Notamacropus eugenii: one gene and its partner. The protein of the gene in region 1 interacts with the protein of each later gene in a pairwise test. Links are inferred from orthologs where the notes say so. Each region holds a gene or a part of one and is shown in the gene's direction. Other genes may lie near its edges.

Region 1 (10,455 bases):
GGCATATGAAATTCTTTGTAATCTGGCCCCTTTTTACTTTTCCTGTCTTCTTAAACTTCTCTCCCCTCCAATCATTCTATAATCTAGCCATACAGGCTGCCTTGCTGTTGACACATAACACTCCATCTCTCATCTCCCTGTCTGGATTGGCTGTCCTCCAGGCCTGGGATGTTCCCCTCCTCACGTTCATCTCTTAATTTCTTTGGTTTTAAGACTCAACTCAAATCCCACCTGCTGAAGGAGGCCTTTCCCAATTCCTCCTAGCTGCTAGTACTCTCCCCTCTGAGATTATCATCTGTATCTTGTATTGAATTTTTGTAATTGCATACTGTCTTCTTCATTAGAATTTGAGGTCTTTAAGGGCAGAGGTAGGTTTGTTTTGGGGTTGTTCTTTTCCCTTTGTTTGTGTCCCTAGCTTTTAGGCCTAGCCCATAGTGAGTTCTTAAGAAATGCTTATTGACTGACCAACTGACTAAATGGACCCCCCCTACCTATCTTATAGGATTATTGTGGTATGTGGTAATACTGTATATAGGCTCTGAAAATTATAAAATGTCATAAAAATATGAAGGATATATCTTTGTTGCAGTGTCAAAGTTCATAATCCAGAAAAAAAAGTACTTTGCAGTTTATTTAGGAGCTGAGGTTGTTGTTTCAAACATTTGAGCCATCTCTTACTTCTCACTCATTCCCCATATCTAATCAGTTGCCAAATTCTATTGTAATACTGACTTTATACCCTCTTTTCCATTCTCCCTTCTATTTTCATTCACAGTCTCATTATCTCACATCTCAGTAATAAAATCTTCTAAAATGTGCTTCCTTTTCTCACCCCTCCATTTCATCATGCATGATGCTATCGGTTTAATCTTCCTGATTCTGAGAGTTAATTGCATCTCCTCCCTTAATTAAAAAAATTAATAATATTGCCAGATATGGTGATGGTGCATGCTCATAGTCCCTGCTACTAAGGAGGCTGAGGTTGGTAAATTACTTGAGTTCAGGGATTTCTAAGTTATAGTATGGCTAAAGGTGGTACCAATGTGTAAACCACAGGGAATGGGGGGGGGGGGGTCACCAGGTTTTGTAAGGAGGGGCAAAGTGGCCTAGGCTGGGAATAGAACAGGTCGAAGCTTTTGTGTCTATCAGCATCAGTGCTGGGCCTGTGCATGGTTGCTGAACTTCCAGCCTTAGGAAAATTGGGAAACCTAATCACATTCACAAAAGAAAAGAAATAAAACAAAACAAATGATTCTCCATTACCTGCCAAATACAATTTTAGTTTTTAGTTTGAGATTCAAAGCTCTCCAAAACCCGGCCCCAATTCAACTTTCCTAGAATGAGAGGTTCAGAACTGGAAGGGTCTTTAGAGAGGTCATTTCATCACCTACCCCTCCCCTCCCATTTTCAATCCTTCCTCTCCTACCCAGACACTATACTGCTATCAAACTGCATTACTCAAAACTCCTTAAATATCTTACACTGTAGGGGAAGAATCAGAAAACCTAGATTCTAAACCTTGCCTTTCATGACCCCAGAAAAGTCATTTAATATCTAGCCTTGGTTTCTTCATCTATAAAGATTAAGGGTTTATCATTTCTAAGGTCTATCTATAAATCCTATGCCCCATGCTTTCTTGTTTCTGGGGGGGGGGGGGGGGGGGAGTTTGGCCCAATTTTATTTTTTTTGTAATGTTTGAGATAGCCTCACCTTGATCTACTCTGTTGAAATCTTTCCAGTTTTCCAAGGTCTGGGTCAGATAACATCCTTTCCATGAAGCCTTCCCCTTTCCTGCCAGGAGAAGTCATCTTCCCCTCTTCTGCATCGTCATAATATCAGCTCTGTCATTCCTTTCTTATGATCACTTTCTACTTTGCATTACAGTCACTTGCATATTGGACCAAAATCAGTGCTGACCAAGAGCCAGCTGGTATCAGCATCGAAAGCCAACTGTTAAATTTTCAGTGTGAACATTTACACCCTGGAAATTGGCAAACACTGCAAATCAGAGCTTGTGTTTTATTGATTTTCGAGACGTAAAGTGATGGAGAAAATATTAATAATATAGATTAAACATAAAGTGTGTTCTGTGTGTATTTTTTCAGAGTCGCTTGTTAAACATTTACCAGCACACCTACGAAAAATTCTTTCCAAGTAGTAACTTGTAAGCCCCCAGTGATGTTTTACTTTTTATCAGTCAGCCATCGTTAACAATTAATAACAAAGGTATTTTAATGACAGTATAAATAAATTTAGTTAAATGACAGTGAGATTTTTATATCTGATCCTGGAGGTAATAGGGAATTTATTAAGGGGGGAGATGGGGGGAAACATGGTCAGACCTGTCCTTTAGGAAGATCATTTGGTAGCTGGGATTTAAAGGAAGTCAGAGAAGCCAGGAGGAGAGATGAGGAAGGAAGGCAATCCAGACATGGGGGAAAATGCTCTGAGTTGGGAGATGGAGAATCATGTTTAAGAAATAGCAAAGAGGCCAGTGTCATTGAATCATAAAGTGTAAAAAAATTAGAAAGGTGGGAGGGGCAGGTTATGACAGGCTTGGAATGATAAAGCATTTTATATTTGATTATGAAGGGTTAACTCATGAACCTCACAATGAAGAGCTGCTATCTCCTACTGATATTACTTTACTTCCTCAAAAGGCATGTTTTTCTGATCTAGGTAATGTCAACTGATTATTTTCAGATTCACCTAATAATAATAATAATATATATACATATATATGTGTGTGTATATGTATGTGTACACATACATACATACATGTTGCTTTATGGTTTACAAGGTACTTAATATGTTATTTTATTTGATCCTCACAATAACCTAGAAGTTAGGTTCTATTATTATCACCATTTTACAGATGAGGAAACTGAGGTAGAGGCATCTCAGGCTGGATTTGAACTCAAGTTGTCCCACCCCCAAGTCTAGCACTCTGTCTACTGTGTACCATCTAGCTGTGTACTATCTATTCTGTACAACATCTTCTACGGATACTGTTACAGTTCTTTCACCAACTCTTTTAGTCACCTCTGCCATGGAAGGGTACTATGATTAGTTAGAATTATACTCTCTCCTGAAAAAGATATTCCCTAGCTCCTTCAATCTGATCTATCAGCCTCCTACTCTTTCAGCTTCCTCCTGTGCATAAGTTAGAGGCAGCTGAGCCTGGAGTCAAAAAGTCCTGAGTTCAAATTCAATCTCTGGTGCTCATTAGTTATATGAACTTGAGCAAGTCACTTAATCTCAGTTTCCTCAACTGTAAAATAGGGTTTTGTCATGAAGATCAATGAGACCATTTTTGTAAAGTGATTAGTACAATGCCTGGCAGTAGTAGGTGCTATATAAGTACTATTTTATTTATTATCATTTCTAGCTATAATCTTCAGATTAAGTGCTATCTTCAGAGCCACCTACTCAATTTGGTTCTTCATTTACTGAAGGTGTTGGGATTAGCAATATTCTCCTTAGCAAGAAGGGCTCATTCTTCTTAGTTAACCTTGTTTGCCAATAGCTATGAAGTTTTTTTGTTTGTTTTTGTTTTCAGCTAGGATCCTCAATTAGTTAGGATACTTTCTTCTTTTTACTCAGACTGCCACAGAAGGGACAAGGGGTCAGACAGAAGCTTGCCTTCAAACTCTTTTAAGCAATTCCTTTATTCTCTGCACTTTACCTACTCTCTTCTGGCTTTCCTGGAAATCTAAATTCAATTGTTACCTAACATGGTCAGAAACCCATTTCAGTACTAAGGTTGTAAGACCAAGGTAAATCTCCCCAGGGGGAAACACTTTGATGAGGATCAGATCATTTTACCCAATCAGCTCTTCTGTTTTATGTAAAGTAGAAATGGCTGAATTGGCTAGTGAAATCTAAAAGACCGTTGACTCTAGTCTTTTCCTACAGAAAAACATTGTAGCCTGACCTCTTTCTCTGGCTGTTTTATACTTGCATGAAGACTTTTTTCTCTCCCTTGCTAGATGATAGGATTTTATTTTTATCTACCACAGTACCTAGAACAGAAACTCTTAGGGTCATAAAATCTTATATCTAGTTCGTTGGCTACTAGCACTTTTTAGTGTGTATAAACTCCTTTTCAATATTAAAAAAAAAAAGTTTCCTGGACCTATGGGTTATTGTTGTACTATTTAGTAACCAATGATTGAAAAATTACATAACAAAAAGTTATTATGAGTTCAGTAATGCTTTTAAGTGAACTTGTGTTTTATTCATCTGAATACTTCTGAAAAATAAGAATCTAAATGAGACATTATTCAGTCTACAAAAACTATGCTTATTATAGAGGAATCATTTAATGAGATAGACCCTTTAAAATAATAGCATCCCACAGGTTGGGAACTACTATATCTCGTCCATCTTTTACACCTTAAACGTTTGTCATACATAAATAAAGCTAGGGATTCTTCATCTGTATGTTACCTAATTTCTAACAATCTTTAAAATAAAAGCTAGAAACCAAAAGCTGAACCTATCAAAGAGATAGAAAGGTTCTTAGATCCAGAGACAATGCTAGGTCACTTAAATTCTCTGGGTCTCAGCTTTCTCATATGGGAAAGATCTAGTTCTTAAAGCCTCTGGGACTCACCTGTTGACAGTGATGCACGCACAAATTCTCTTTTAAAAATCTCCAATACTTTTGAATAACATATTCCAGGGCTTCACATTCCCTTTTCTCCTCTGAGGCTTTTGCCACTTTCGAAGTTAATTTTATTTTTAAGGATTATGCAACAGCTCAGTGCTGCAAGATGAGACATGGGGGGAAAGAGAAGGAGATGGTTTCAGTTTTTGCAAAGCCCAAGCTGAACAGTCAGCTTCCATCTCAAGAGGACTTTTCTAATCGACCTTGGAGCGCTGTCCCTGGCAATGTTTCTAAAGAGCGAAAGTAAACAGGAGGGCATTTGGGCCTTGGCAAACACAGGAGAGGGGACCTAACTCCAAAGTCCCAGAGTGGTTCCAGAACTTCCTACTGATTACACTTTCACTGAATTAACAAGAGTTCCCTGGGAGCAGAGGGTGGGAAAGTGAGGGAAAGGTGGTGCTGACTAGCAGGCAGCTTTTGTCCTGGTGCTCCTTGGCTGGCACCTGACCCTCAAGTAGGTGCGGTAGGTAGAGATAAAACTGAGCTGTGCCCTTCAACCTGGACCTCGGAGCCAGCCTCCCTTAGGCCACCGCGTACTCTTTGCCAGGTCGGTGAGACAGCATCCACTATGTTTCCGAGTGGCAATCTCGTTGGGAGGTAAGGGGAAAAATGGTTTCTTTGGTTTGTTTTAAAGGACACACGTACACTACACTGCTCTAAATTATACGCCCGGAGAAACGGTTTTGTCTTAAAAGGCGCACAAGCACAAAACATACGCACAGGGGGAGTCCACCGTCTCTTGGAGTTGGGACACCCGGGTCCAACTCCTGGTTTTGGAAGTTCCAATCCTTCCTCTTACTACCCTGGGTGACCTTGAGCAAATCACTTAAATTTCCCTGGGCCTCAGTTTCCTCATGACCAAAATGATGAGTCTGGACGAGATGAACTCCAGGCTGCCTTCCAACTCAAAAATCTACGGTTATTACGGTAAGGCCTGTGTTTTGGGGAGGGGTCTCTCCCCGCCCTCCGCCCCCGACGGGGATGGAGAGAGTTAAACACAAAGATTCTCAATACCTCCTTCCCTTCCTCCCCTCCCCCCCAGTGCTCCCACGCCAGCCCCCACCCCATTCCAAACCCGCAGGAAGTCAGCAGCCGCAAGGGTGGGGGATTTTAAGAGGAGGAGCCGGGAGGAAGCGGCCGGCCTCGGTGGGCGTGGCCACGCATTTCTCCGCCCCCAGGGTGGTCGGAGGCGGGGCGTTGCCGGGGCTGTGCCGGGGAGTCCCGGCCCTCGGGTGGAATACAGTGAAGTGCCAGGGAGACTCAAGGAGCCGCTTCCGCGCCACCCCGTCCCTGCCGCTGCGCCTTCCTTCTCCGCACCTTGTCTCGGGAGCTGAGAGAAAGAAGTCCGGCCGGGGAGCCCCAGCGCAGGGGTCGGAAGCTCAACATGATGGACTTGGAGCTGCCCCCGTCGCAACAGGTGCTACTGCCGGCACCTCCGGGACTGGCGAAGGGGGGGAGACGTCACGCACACGAGAGCGGGGCTGGGGGGGAGCGGACGTCACGCCTCCGGGAGCAAGGGGGGGACACGCCTACGGTAACAGGGACGGGGGCGACGTGGGCGACGTGGGCCGACCTCCTTCCCTCTGTCTTCTCTGTACAGTCCACCGGCGAGAGGGGACGGCGGGGAAGGCCGGGGTCGCGGAGGAGTCTAGGATTAAAGGAAAAATAACACCCGACCCCCTCCTCGGGAGAGAATAGAGGTGGGGGAGGAGTTGAGGATGGCGCCCTAGGGGGATCCAGAGGGGAAGTCCCCAGGAAGCCGTGGATGCAGGGCAGGGGAGGGGGGCAGCTTCCCCCCGGCTCTGCCTGTCACGAGCGCGTCGGCGGCCCCGGTGCGCTGGGTCTCCTTTCCTGAGGGAGGAGGAAGAGGAGGTGCGGAGGGGGTGGGGATTCCCAACTCCGGAGGGGAGGGGGACGTGGGTGGGGGGTGCAACAGCTGTTCCCGCCCCCGCTGTCTTCCGGGAGCCCCTCCTCCCCAGGTCGCCGCACTGCGGCTGCGCGGCGATGGGTGAGTTGAGGAGGTGTCTCTGGTCTCTTCCTTGGGCACTGTGGGAGGGGGTGGGGCGAAGCCTGCGCCGCCCCGCCCCTGCACCGCCCCCGCCCCTGCGCCGCCCCGTCCTTGCCCCCCTCCCCGGGGTCTGGTTGTCAGGGGAGGAGAAGCTTCCTAAGCGCCCTCGGGGCCTGCTCTAGCTTCTTTCGTCTCTTCGCACTTCCATTCCTGAGCTGCTCTCTCTGGCCTTGAAGCCTGCGTGCTTAGTCGCCAGGGGGAGGATGAGGTATGGACTGGCCCCCGGACCCTCGAGTGAGCGAGGAGCGCGGGGCGCACGTCTGGCTTGGAAGTCTGGGCTTCCATAGAGATCGATCATCTCTAGCCCTCCCCCGCCCCCACCTCTCCAGTTACTGCATCTCCGAGCCGGGGAAGGGAAAGGCTAGGCTTGTTCCTCATCACGCTTACCCTCCACTAGGGATTTCTAGGGTACTGAGAAAAACCAGTCTTTAAAGGACTCCAGTTAGCTTTGTGCTTCTGCAGTGACCTAGATGGCCCCGACGGACTGAATGAAGCCGTCCAAAAGCTCATAGTGTATCTACCCCTGACGGTGGTCCCCGGGCGGACCGTGGCGGAAGATAGCCAGGCCTGGACCCTGCATCTGATGAAGGCCGCTTGTCGTCCGGGAGAGAATGGGGAATTGGGAGTTCAGTTTGTCTTGCCTCCCCCCCTTTTCCTCTCCTACAGAACTCGGGAGTTTTGGAAACGTTCCGTACAACATACAGCACCCCCTCCCCGCTGCGGTAGTCCCGAGTGCGCGCTTCTCCGCGGCCTCCGAACGCGTCCCTGCGGCCTCGGCGGGGGTCAGCTGCCGCCAGTCGCGGCCGCCCTAGAGGGGCCCCTTGTGCTGCCTAGCGTGCCAGCCCGGCCGAGCTCGAGGAGCTCAAGGCCAGGGCGAGTCGGAGCTGGGGAGCTGTTGCGCAATTGTTATTTTCCCCTGGGCTGCTTTGTCTTTGGATGAAGTTTCTCAGATTGTAATTCTAAAATATGTAAAGCAGAATACGCTAAATGTTGTTCTGAGTAGGGCTGCCAGGGCAGATCAGGGTTTGTATTTTTGTGTAAAATGAGGTCTGTGCTTACACATTAAAACTTCGACTCCAAACTACTGCCTAGTTGGCTTTACCTTGAGTCTCTTTTCCCGCCGCCCTTCTCCCGGTCCCCTTCCTGTTAGAGAATTTTTCTTTCTTTTCGTTCTGCCTTTTTTGTAAGGATAGATGACGGGATACTTGTGTTGCACGGTGATCCTTTTGCTAGCAAGTTCTGTAGTCCGAGTTGGAAGAATTTGGAAGTAAGGTCCTTTATCATTTCAAATCATAGCATATTTTAAAAGTGTGACAGACAAGTGAAAAGATTACTTAGGATTTCTCGGCTTTTGTTTGAAGTTTTAAGAAAGATTATTGTTTCAAGGACATTTTTAATTTGAACTTGACCCTCTCAAGGTATTGAATGCTTTCCTCTTTGAAAGCAGTTATCTAATCTTGGCACGACTAAAGAGTTCCCTTTTCACCTTCTCTTTGGATATACATTCAGGACATTATAGGTCCCTATGCAGTTGTATAGTCTTGGACTGCTCCCGAAGAATGATTTTGGTTTTGTGCCCTAATAGCTTACTATTATAAAGATAGCTGTTTTGTTGGATTCAGTTATGACCAGAACTGAGGCTGTGTAGATGCTTCCTTGAACATATACAAAATACTATTGATTCATTTTTGGAAATGGAAAATGTTTTGGAGGATAGCGTTCAAATGTGCCCTAAAATTTCGTGCTTGAGGAAACAAAAGGAAACATGGAGAATGGACTTACAACAAAATGGCAAAATTTTATCACTGAAACATCAGTTTGAAGTCAGTAGAAAAATAAAATGAGGCTTCAGAGCTGATAGCAAAAAAAAAAATTGAATAAAGATATTGAAGTTTTTGTAATATACTTGCTAGGTATCACCAAAGGAATAAGGTTCTTGACCTTGTGGAGACTCTTTATTTTAAATGTGTAATTTATTAAGATCAAGTGAGATAATATTTGTAAAAAGTGTTCAGCACTTACAGTCTGGTACATACGTGTGTATAAAAAAGCACAATAAAAATGCTTATTCCTTTCCCTATTCCACTTACCCTATTGTACCAGAAAATATGCTGTCACCCTCTTTACATAGAAGAAGATATCTAGGAAGAGATCGTTAAGTATATAACTTGAATTCCCCACACCCATCATAAAAACTTTACATTTATTCTCTTGTACATTGTGCTGCAGATGAAAGACGCAGTTACTTTTTTCACTGCAGTGATAAGTGTCAAGTTCAAAAAGAAAAGTGAGAAGGAAAAGTCAGTAGTCTCTCTTGATATAGAGAGCAACTTGACATTTTTGTTTTATGAAACATCTTGAGATATTTTGAAAACACTTTGTAGGAGGACTCATTCAACTCCTCTCAGTCACAACAAAAAAAGTCATGCCTGGTGCACTTAAATTTTCCTAGACAATAAGGACAAGGTTTCATTCTTTGTGAATAACAAAAAGTTAAAGAGAGACTATATGTTTTCATTAATATTAATCTATTTTCATTCAAGATAATTTATGGACAGCCGGAAAGTAACCCCAGGAATGTTGGGGAAAATCTCAGAGGTTTTTTCCCTCTTTTTTTCTTCATTCTAGACTCTCTTAACATTGCCATTATCCACACTTGTGGATAATGTGAGAGGAAAATGTCGCATTTTAATAAAAAGTGGGTAAACTGAGGAAAACTAAAGAAGCTAACTTTTTTTTAGTTTCTAAGAAATATACCTGTTTCTATGTGATTATGTCTGAATTTGAGTTAAGTATCAGTCAGAGGAGAAATTTATTGGGATAAATAAAACATAACCTATTTGGTACTTCTGAAATGAAGAAAACAAAGTCTTAAGAAGTCTTCGGGTTAATTAACTGGGTAAGTTTATATTGTCTTTAGGAATACCACGTTCAAAATAAAATAACTTTTTTTCCTTAAAAACTTATAATATTCTAAGTTGTTGATGCATTTGTTGGATTTTGGAGTATAGTCAACCTAACTGAAGTCAGTAGATGTGTCTGTTGAGCAGATTTCAGAAATTTGTGTTTGGCACAGCAGGTTATAGAAATACTTAAAACATCTAATAGATGAGGAAGTTTTATGGATTTTATCAGGTATTGAGTAATTGAAATGACGATAGTGTTTTACAATTTTTATTTAAAGCTGGGAAGATGTTAAAATTTCTCAGAAATATACCAATTGTATTTTAAGATATATATGATTGTTTTAAGATTATGAGCAAGGAAACAAAAAGCTTATTACAACACTTAATGAATTAATCCATCCTCACTCCCGAGTTAGAGGGTTTTTCTGTTTGAGTCACTGACACAACACTTTAAATACTAGAATTAAGTCTGAGAACAGAAAGTACTGTTATCACGGAACACATTGTTTGCTCCAGTCATGTCAGGACCTAGATACATGAAGAGGAGGACTACTGACTTCGGAGTGTAGTCCCTGTGTGGGTTTGTTTTCACTCTGGCACTAAACAATACAAAGGCCGGAGGTAAAATGGAATTTGAGAGCCAAGTCCATCTTTTATTGGGTAGTGTTAATAAGTGACTTTTGAAAGCCATTATAATTCAACATATCAGCATAGTCTGAAGGGTTTTATTAAAAGTCTGTAAATACTTAATTTTTTTTTCTCACAAGCTTAGAAACTCTGGGACTTTTGGACTGTGATATCAGTAACATACT
Region 2 (10,501 bases), on another chromosome or scaffold:
GGAGAGACTTCCAGGCTTGGGGGATGAGGGGTGGGGCGCAGAAGACAGTCAGTGAAAATGTCTGGAGGTGGGAAATGGAGTGTCTTGTTTGAGGAAGAACACAGAAGTCGGTGTCCTTTGGATCTCAGAGTACATGGGGGATGGAGGGTGCAAGGTGTAAGAAGATTCAAAAGGTAAATATGGACAGATTATGAAGGGATTTGAACAACAAACAGGTAATTTTATGTGTGATCCTGGAGGTAAGTAGGGGTTGGAACTGTGCTTTAGCAAGGTCACTGAAGGCTGAGTAGAAGATGAACTGGAGTAGGGGGAGACTTGTGGCAGGCAGACAAACCATCAGACTCTATAAAAATCCATGTATGAGGTGGGCAGGACCTTAAACAGGATGGAAGTACTGTCAGAGGAGACTTTACAAAGGCAAAAAAAAAAATAAGCCTTGACAACCAATTGGATTGGGAGGAGGGGGATGTGAGAGAATGAGGAGATGAGAATGATATTTAAGTTGCAAGCCTGGGTGACTGGGAGGATGGTGCTACCCTCAACAGTAAGGGAAGTTAAGAAAAGGGAAGGGTTTTGCAGGGGAAAAATAACGAATTCAGTTTTGGACATGGTGAGTTTAAGGTGTCTGTAGAACATGGTGTAGAGACATTCATTATTAGGCAGTTAGATATGTGGGACTGGAGGCAAGTAGAGAGTTTTAGATTAGATAAGTAGATCTGCGAATTATCATCATGGAGATAATAACTGAATCTATGGAAGCTGATGAGATCACCAAATGAAATAGTATATGGGGAGAAGAGAAGAGGCCTAGGATGTTGCCCTGTGGGGCACCCAACGATAAATGGTATGACGTAGACGCAAATCTAGCAAAGGTGACTGAGGAGTAGTTAAATAAATAAGAGAACCAGGAAAAAGTAGTGTCATAAAAACCTAGAGAGAAGATGGTATCAAGTAGAAAAGGGTGACTGATATTGTCAAAGGCTAAAGAGAGGTCAAGAAGGATAAGAACTGAGAAAAGGCCATCAGATTTGTCAATTAGAAGATATTTGGTAAGTTTGGAGGGAGTACTTTTCAACTGAATGGGTGTTGTCCTTCATTCTCAGAGGACCAAAATGACATCACTATGGTTAGAGTCAAGTTACAATGTGTCCCGCTGTAGCTGTTCAGACCAATACAAACTCAGAATGCTCTACCATAGGTCAGGCAAAAATAGTCCATGTGAACATTTGGGGTGGAGTTGCTAAATTTGACATTTGGGGTGTGGTTGACTGCAGGGTGGGCTCTCTGCCTGCCTCAGCAATCAGGCTAAGGTAGAGTAAGCAGACAATTTCTAGGGCACCTTTTCTAGCCTCTTCCTCACACCAAGAGATGAGCAGGGAGATCCTTAAAAGGCTGCTCAGATACTCAGGGCTGCTGAATCTCATTGCTGCTTCCAATGAGAAGACAACCCTGTGGCCTGGGCTGTCTGGGTAGAGGACTATGAGTACAGCTCCCAAGGTATCCGCACCTGCTGCTTCATCACTTCCCTGTCACCACAGAACTTTGAGATAGGTAAAATGGAATGGGTGTTGTTTTTTGATTCGTGCATAAATTGGATTCAAGTGAGGCAGAATTTCACTAAGTCGTTTACCTCACTCTCTCTTCCACAGTTATCACAGTCCAGTGGCAGGAGAGTGTGAAGACAACTGGTGGTGGCTCAAGATGCAGAGGATGACCCTGGTCTCTGATGTCTAACCAAACTCTAAACGTTCCACAGCACCTGCTTCAGATGCCTTCATTGCCATTGGGACAAACTGTTCTCATCTGTCCATTCCACCAGGGCAAGTCTTCATATGCTTGGGATAGACACACCCCTAACTCACCAATGGGTTTGAGACCCCTCAGTCACCCTCAACCTGGTTTAGTCTGTCTGCCAAAATGGTTTACTGGGATGCTCCAGCTTCTTGGAGTCACAGGGAGAGTTAGGTGGAACTGGTGGATACTAAATGTTGGAAAGCAGTCCTAAAAAGGACTCACCAGCCCTCACACCAGAGGTACTAGTCTTAATAAAGCCATACTGTAGAGTTAAGAAGAAAGTCAGAGAAAATGAAATGGAAACTCGTACTGTAGATGGTCCTCTAGAAGAGTTTCAACATAAAAGAGAAGAGAGATATGGGATAATATCCAGGAGGGATGGATGGATCAAGAGAGGTGTTTTTTTTGAGGATGAAGGAGACATCGGCATGTTTGAAGGCAGTAGAGAAGCAGTCTGTAGATAGGAAGGGATTGAAAATTAGTGAGTGGGGATGGTGGAGGAGGCAGTCTGCTGGAAATGACTGAATGGAAAAGGAGCCCTTGTGCATATAAAGGAGTTTGTCTTGACAAGAAGAAGAATCTCATGTTTAGTTAATTTCTGCTAAGACGTAACAGTCATCCTTCCCTCTACATTTATTTCTCCTCACTTACTTTCCCTCCTTCTTAACTTCTCCATTTGCTCCTTTTCATTTTCCCCCTCCTCTTCTTTTTCCACTTTTCTTCTTGGGACTCATCATTCATTTTTAAAAAAAACTAGTTTAATTAATGTCCTTTGTTTTTATGTCACAGTCATTTCTGGAAATAATCCCCTCCCCCTACACAAATCAAGCCTCCCTTCTAACAAAGTTAAGCAAAAACATAACCCACTTCTTACAACATATACAACATTCTGCCCTAATGGTATTCATTATTCTTAAATAAACAAAAACTTCACAACTAAAAACTAAATTAGCTGTTTTCTTTCCTAGCTTTCTTCTTGACTTTCCATTACCCAGGACCTCATCTTCCTTATGTGAGAACTGGTAATGACATTCCTTTGCCCAAAACCCTTCAGTGTTTCCCAATGGTCCAGTGAGTCAAGTTCAAATTTCTTAGCTTAGTATTTATTCTCTGAGGTCCTTTGCGGTCTGCTGCTGTCCAGATCTTTTCACCCTTTTTATCTCATGCTCCTCTGTACTTCTCTCCAAGTATTTTATATTCCAACTAAACTGGACTGTAGTTCCTGCTATAGACCCTATGTTCTAGCCTCCTAGTCGTGCTTGGCTTATACTATTCCTTTGTGTCTAAGATGTCGCTCAGTTCTCCTCTGTTAAATTCTTACCCATTCTTTATAGCCCAAATGAAATACTACCTCCTTATGAAACTTTTAAACTAGACAGCTAATATGGATTTCCTTCTATGTTTTGCTTGCCTCATCTATTTCACTGACCAACTTTTATTTTTAGCCTTTTTATTCTAACTTATCTCATTCTAAAAAATAATTATTGCTTTATAAAATAATTTGAGATCTGATCATGTTAAACCTTCTTGCCTACTTTCCCTTGTTATTTCCCTCAATATTTAGGTACCATTTTTTTGTTCCTCCATGTATATTATTTTGTTCCATTACATAAAATAGTTGACCATTCAACAGGCATTTGTATCATGTGCCAAGAACTGTGTCAGAAAGGGTCCCTGCCTGGGGTGACCTTACATTCCAGTAGAGAAAACATGTACATGAATGCATGGTCACATATAAAAACAAAAAGTATACAAAGTATAACCACGGCGATTAATTACATTAGCAGTTGTGGGGGGGGAGGCGGTGTTAGGAAAGACCTCGTGTAGGAGGCTGCATCTGGCTGAGCTTTGAAGGAAGCTATTGATCCATTTGGTACAGTTGGGACTCAGTCAGTGTCAATAATGATTCTGCACAAGTGACCTCATGTATTCAAAGTTATAATTATGTAAAATATGGTTAAGGTGATTAACATAGCAGGCAACCCTTAGATTAACCTGAATAGTATGGCCAGGTCATAAACATTGACTTTCTTCAATTATATAGGTCACCCTTTATTTCAGTGAAGATTGTTTATAGTTAGAAGTCTCAAATTCTCTGTGTGTCTTGGTAGGCACGAAGGATTTTCTAATCACCCCAGTCCTTAGTGACCTTTCACACTTGAATTTAAACATTTTAAACTTCTTGAGGGCAAGAACTGTCTTGTCTCTTTTTGTATCCCTGGCACTTAACACTGTACTGGGCACAGAGTAAGTGACTAATAAATAGACTGACTGATGGCATGGTACAGTTACCTGGGCACCGACTACACTCTCTGCTACTAGACTATAAACTTCACAAACATCAGGGCTTGTAGTTTGGGTTCACCTCTTTGTTACCCCATTTTGGGCTTTGGATGTTGGGTTTTGTTGGGGTTTCTTTGCAAAGATGCTGAAAGGGTTTGCCATTTCCTTCTCTCACTCATTTTACAGATGAGGAAACTGAAGTAAAAAGGATTAAGTGACTTGCCCAGGGTCACACAGCTAGTCTCAGAACGGATTTGAACTAAAGAAGAGGAGTCTCCCTGACTCCAGACCTCTATCCACTGTGCCGCCTTAAACTTAGGTTATGTTTCATTTATTATATGTTATAAACTTTATAATACCATGCCTTTTCTCCCCTCTGCTTCATAGGCACTTAATAATTTAGAACAGAAATATAAGAGGATAGAGTCCAACCTTTCCATTTTACAGATGAGGCAACTGAGGCACAAAGAACTTAACAGTCACCCAAGATCAAACATGCAGAAAGTGTTCAGACCCATATCCTCTGACTCCCAATACGGTGTTTCTCCCCGCTGTTACTTGACCCTCTAAGGTCCAGACTCCTGCCCTCCGTCTCCCCTGGAAGCCAGAGGACCTGGCCCCAGATTCTGCCTCAGACCCTTATGTGGGTAAGGGTCTATGGGCACGTCACTCAACTTCATGGGGCTTTCTTCATTTTCTCATTTGTAAAAGATCTTTAAAGTCCCTTTGGCACGTAAACCTGTGGTCCTAATGATCTTTGTTCTTTTCAGGTTTTTATGTATTTATAGCATTTCAGCTCCCTCCCTGCCCGGCTCCTCGGGAAGGCAAACAGCACCATGTCCATTCCACGTTAGCCCTGTTAAAACCAACCAGCAGTAAAAAGCAAGGACTCGGGTCTCCGGCGAGAGGCCTCCGGACCGCGGGGTAGCCCAAGGCTGAGTGCCGGGCAGCCGGAGCCCTCCGGCCGCCCTGGCGGGGTGACCCTGAACCCTTCTCCGACCCGGCGCGGCGGCACAGAAGGTGCTACGCCCCAGGGGGTCCGAGGGCTCGCAGAAGCGGCGGCCACGCCCACTGCTCACCCCCTGGGAGGCCGATCACTGGCGCAAGCCCCGCCCCCTCCCCGCCCATCTCCCAGGGCTCAGTCTCCTCATCTGTACAACGGGCCCTGGCGGGGAGGAAAGCAACTTTGCGCCCACGAACCTCTCCAGGGATGCTAAGTTTCTGTGGTTATAACTTTTTTATTGTTGTAATGATCACGTGCCCGTCTCGATGACGGGGGGCTGGGGGGAGGCAGTGACCTCGCGCGGTCCCCCCCTCTAGGGGTTTACACTTGTCTCTCCCCTCTTCCCCCCAAGCCGGCGGCCGGCCCGGGCGGGCCTGGGGGGGGCGGGGTGTGAATGAATGGGGCGGGAGGCGCTAGGCGGCCGCGCGGCGGGCGGGGCCCTCCCTCCCCTCTCCCTCCCGCTCCCTCCCCCCCTTCCCCCCTCCCTCGGTCCGCCGCCCGGGCCAACGGACTGAGGTGACGGGGGGGCGGGGGGGAGGAGGCGAGGGGGCGTGGCCAGCTGACGCGCGCTGACGCGCGATCCCGGAAGCGGAGTGTCAGATGCCGAGGACTGGGGGGGTTGTTGTTATTCCCGAAGTCGGAGGAGGAGGAGGAGGCGAAGTGGGAAAGCGCGTCCCCGCGAGGAGCCGCCGGAGCCGGAGCCGCCGCCGCGCGTCCCCGCCGTCGCCGCCGCCGCCCCCCGCCAGGCCCCGCCGCGTGCCCGCGCCCCAGGTAAGAAGGCGGCTGCGGGCGGTTGGGTCGGCAGAGCCGGGGGTAACGGACCCACCGCCGGACGGCTGGGCAGAGGGGGGGCGGGGCGCTGGAGGACGGGACCCGCCCCGATCCGAGGCTGGCGGCGGCCGCAGCGGGGGCGTGGTGCCCCCTCCCCACTCTCCGGCGCCGGGGGGGTGGGGGCGTCGTCGGCCCCCGACCCCTGACCCCTTTCCTCTTAGCCCGCGCTGGCCGCACGTGCTGCCCCGTCCCGTCCCGGCGCCCCGCGAGCCCGGAGATCCTCCCTGCCCGCCCCTCCCTCCCTTCCCTGGACCGATTCCTTTCCCCCCCTCCCTGTTACCCCCCAAATCGCTGAGTCATCCTTCTGGGGGAGACACGTGCCCGGACCAGGGGGCGGAGGGGGAGACACGTGCTGACTGCCCCGCGGGAAGACCCGGGACCAGCACGTGGCGCCCCCAGACCCTGGGCCAGAGGAGCCCCCCAGGTTCGGGGAAAGCGCCCCAAGAAAAAAGGCAGGCAGAGGGGGGCTAGGAAGGGGACCGGACAAACTGCGGGCGCACCCCATCCGAGAGGAGCAGGAAAGGCAGGGGTGAAGGGGGAGGCGGCAGGGAGCATCCCCGGGGTGGGGAGTAAGCATGCATGGGAACCGGCCGGCCGGAGGGGCACCGCGGGGTGACCATCGAACCAGAGTCGTGGCCGGGGCTGGGCTGCTTCTGTTGGGCGTCTGGCCCCCGGGACCCTTCCTCCAATCTTCCTCCAATTACCCGTTCTGCTGTATTTCCATATATGCAAATGATCTGATGGTCCAGGGTTGTAACTTATTACTCTGACCTTTGGGGTTTTGGGGGGCTCAGTTTGACACACAAACTTGTACGTTTAGGAATCTGATGACTCTTCTTAGCGGGAGTAGGAAACACCTCCCCTTGTTACATCTCAGGGGCCAGGGACGTAAAAGCACCTAGGGAATGTCAGACGGCCGCTGAGGAGGCTCAGCCCGATAACTGCCTTACTGTAGGCAGATGACCCAAACACGGTACCAAGAGTCGTAGGCCACTGGTGTATGATCTCCCTGACAGACCGTCCTACGTAGTCCTGATCTGCTTAGGATATTAAATTGTTACACTGTGACAAATGAAACTTCAAAGGCCGCTCCCTTGTATTTAGAGATATCCAGACATAAGATAGGAAAAGCTCCCTAGATTCTGGCATGTTTCATTCAGTTTTTATTTTCCAGCTTAGAAAGTCTAGGAAGGAAGAACGTTTTTTTTTTAAAGAGTGCTTAGAAACCTAGGTAGTATTTGGTGGTTTGTTTTTTTTTATATTAATCATTTTAGACTACTAAAGAAAGAAGTTGTTGACCTTTCTAAACAGGATCATGAAACCTGAGTGATCCAGTATGAAAATGACTGGAGAGCCTAACCCTAGGTGATATCACTCACTTGTGGTGACGATCTATTGAAACCGATTTTGGTTAATGTTTACTCTTGGAATTTTAGTCTGGGATATTTGCTGTGATAGGAAAGGGTGGATTGAAATAACAGTATTCACATTAATACCCATTTGTACTCAGGCATTTTATAAGCTAAAGAGTTAAAAGCATAATAAAGATTTTTTTAAAATTCCCCATTTTACAGACAGGGGCACTGAGGCATAAAAAGTGACTGCCTTCTACCCCCAAGAGATCAGTGGCAGAGGTGAGAAAGAGATTTCCAACTCCTGTCTTTTTTCTCAAAAAAGTGAATTCTTTAAAACCAAATGAGAGATTAGAGACATGTCAGATGACATCTCCAAAATTAAATATGTTCATTTAAGCCGATGCTAAGAAACAAAGCCCTAAAGCTCCTCTCTTAGGTGCGATACTGGAATATCAACCAACATAGTCTCATAAGGGAAAAGGGGTTCCTGTTGTAGGCCAGAGCCCCTGAGCCCTGGAGCCAGGCCAGCCTGGTCAAAACCGGAAATAACGTCCTTTACCTTTCAGTCGTTCAGACCAGCCCTCCCATCCCAGGGTAGCCCGGAGGCCAGATTTGCCCCGAGGGGGCTAAGTGAACATTTTAGGATAGTTGCCTCCCCTTCTATTTCACCGAGAAGCCCTTTGAGGTCACATGTGAGAGGCTGTGTACCCCACGCCCCCAGAGCACCAGCAGCCTCCAGCCTGGCTTAGTAGTTAATGTATTTACCTTGCTGCTTCCGCACTGAGGGAGCCGGTTCAACTTGTACAGTCTCTCTTCCCTTGGTAATGCAGAAAAGCCTTCCTACCACAGTCACTTCCTACAGATGACTGGCATTGCTCCTATCCAATAGCGTTATACAACATCAGCCAGAGGGAAAGGGGATTTAACCCTGCTCTTACCAAAAGTCATGCTGTGATGGAGAATGAAGGAATTTGGGAAATATCGCTTACATTGTTGTTTATTCATAAATCGTCTCAGTACTTACGTAGTGGCTTGATTTGTGTGCTTTGAGCTTCCAGCCTTTGGTGTCTCCAATTAGTATTTCTAGAGTGAGTACATTGGAAGTTCATAGAAGAGCAAATGTGACCTTCTCTTTCCTATCTGCCAAGTCTTTGAAATGAAGACTCATATTCCTCTTAGTAGAGTTTCTTCTTGAATGGCAGTAGGTCTAAAAGAGCAAACCCAGTCATGCTGCTACTCCTCTGATACTGCATACAGTACTTACTTTAAGCAAATAAGCTAACTTTATATTTGCCCAGACTCCAGGGAGTTTTTGATTTTGGAAGGACATGTATTGCGTATTCCTTGTATTTTTAATTTTATGATGTTGGTTTATTGGTTTGCTTTTTCATACTGATTTTGGTAGCCAAGACAGAAACTAAGATATGTACCGAGTTACTCAATAGGTTGGTAAGTTAGTTCCTCCTGTAAGCAGTGGATTTTTATGAGTGACGTGTAGTTTGTCTTACACACTGTCCTTCCCTCCACCTTTGTTTGTCTGGCGCAGTCTAATTGTCTTCATGTCCTATTTGTTGGCTTTGTGGAGGCCTCTGCTTTATTGGGATCATCTTTAAAGGACATCCTGATACGTGCAGATGTTGCTTAATGTCACACCATGTTCAGCTTATTTCAAACCTAGTGATTTTTTTTTTTTTGGATAGACCTGGTGAGAGAGAAGATTGGATGAGTATAAAAAATAAAACACAAAACAATTTTGAAAGCTGAGCTTGGCCTGTTGGGTGGGGGCTGAGGGAGATGGCATTTTGTGCAGCAGTGTAAACTCGTGCTGTGCATGCATACAGCTTCAGTGCCACCTGCGACACATTGCCCCAGAAGGAAGAACCTTAGCTACTGTATTACAAGATCTATACCTTCTTGTCCATCTGCCATGTTCCCTTACCCTTTCCTTTGTAAGATGAAATAATAATTTTTCATTAACCTTTTGGAGGGAGTTTTATAAACTAAAACCAGAAATTTTCCCCAGAATGAAGTTTGCCTTCCATACTTAAACACAGCACAGGCTTTAAGGGAATCATTCCAAGTGTAGCATTGCTTGACTTTCAAGGTGGTTGCTAAAAATGGGAGTTGAGCAGAGATTATTTGGGGAAGGCAACATTTACTATGTGTCAGAATTGGCTGAATCCAATTTCTCTCTCTGACACTATTTGGAACTTTGACACGAGCCTTTTTCAAACCGTAAAATTTTGTCTACTCTAATTCTCACCTTAACCATAACTTCTCTGGTGGTTGCTACATTTGTACACAAACTCAGGCATAACTGTGATTATTTTCCAGATAGTTATTTTAAAATCACATTGATAAAGTTCCTGGGTGTGAGGGTTCCGTGTAAACCATCTTACTGGATTCAGGTTCTGGTCCATAAAGGAAATGGAAAGCTGGCCAGCTGGGAGAATTTTCTGCGTAGCTTCTCCTTGGAGCAGTAAACAGTGACTCACCCTTCTCTATTCCCCACCCTCCTTGTTCTCTGTTAATGGGAGTTATAGCTAAATACTTTTGCTTTTCATAATTCACAGTGTCATCATGTTTCCCCTTTATTACTGTTTTAGAAAATTAACAATTGTCACTTGTCTTGGGGAAGAGAGGGCACTTCTAAAAAGTCATGAGATGGAGGTTCTTGGATCATAGATTTAGAGCTGGGGACCTACCTTAGAGGTCATGTAGTCCAATTCCCTCATTTTGCAAATGAAGAAGCTCAGGCCTAGATGTGGAAGACTTTATGATGGAGAACTTTTCTTTGTAGTAGTCAGAAACTAATATAGCGGGCCTTGGGCACAGAAGAATATTAGCACCAAAGTTAACTGTTACCTGGCCCTTTATCTGCCTAGGATTATGTATCTTCTCTGTGTATGGTTAGTACATAACTGTGCTACATTCATTTCCATTAATGTACTGGGAGATGAAATAGTCTGGAGCTCAGAGTCCAGTCAAATTAAATGTGAAATGAAACTGCAGAGTGTAGGTAGGTAGGTCAGCCTTCTCATAGCAGTAGCAGTCAGGCCTGCTTTGGGGTTCCACTGGAATGCCACAGCTGAGGGCAGGTAGCCAAAGCCTAACCTCCGGCTACAAATGAGCTGTTTGAGGTGTTAAATGATAATGATGCTGGGGATGGACAAGGTACAGCACATCCCTAGCATTCTTACTTGGGAGACAGAGGCAGAGGAGAACCAATTATGAC

What was found.
Region 2: the proteins of NFE2L2 (region 1) and MAFK interact in binary tests that used the Homo sapiens proteins (3 or more experiments, as listed by UniProt). The link is inferred for Notamacropus eugenii from reciprocal best matches to the Homo sapiens genes NFE2L2 and MAFK.

Annotation. Positions count from the first base shown.
Region 1 is NC_092876.1:240,168,068-240,178,522, reverse strand, and holds the start of NFE2L2 (nuclear factor erythroid 2-related factor 2), read left to right. Parts: upstream 1-5,808; 5' UTR 5,809-6,053; coding exon 6,054-6,086; intron 6,087-6,236; exon of another isoform or gene 6,237-6,369; intron 6,370-6,792; exon of another isoform or gene 6,793-6,945; intron 6,946-10,455.
Region 2 is NC_092874.1:388,036,833-388,047,333, reverse strand, and holds the start of MAFK (transcription factor MafK), read left to right. Parts: upstream 1-5,700; 5' UTR 5,701-5,851; intron 5,852-8,031; exon of another isoform or gene 8,032-8,201; intron 8,202-8,290; exon of another isoform or gene 8,291-8,544; intron 8,545-10,501. UniProt on the Homo sapiens protein: Since they lack a putative transactivation domain, the small Mafs behave as transcriptional repressors when they dimerize among themselves.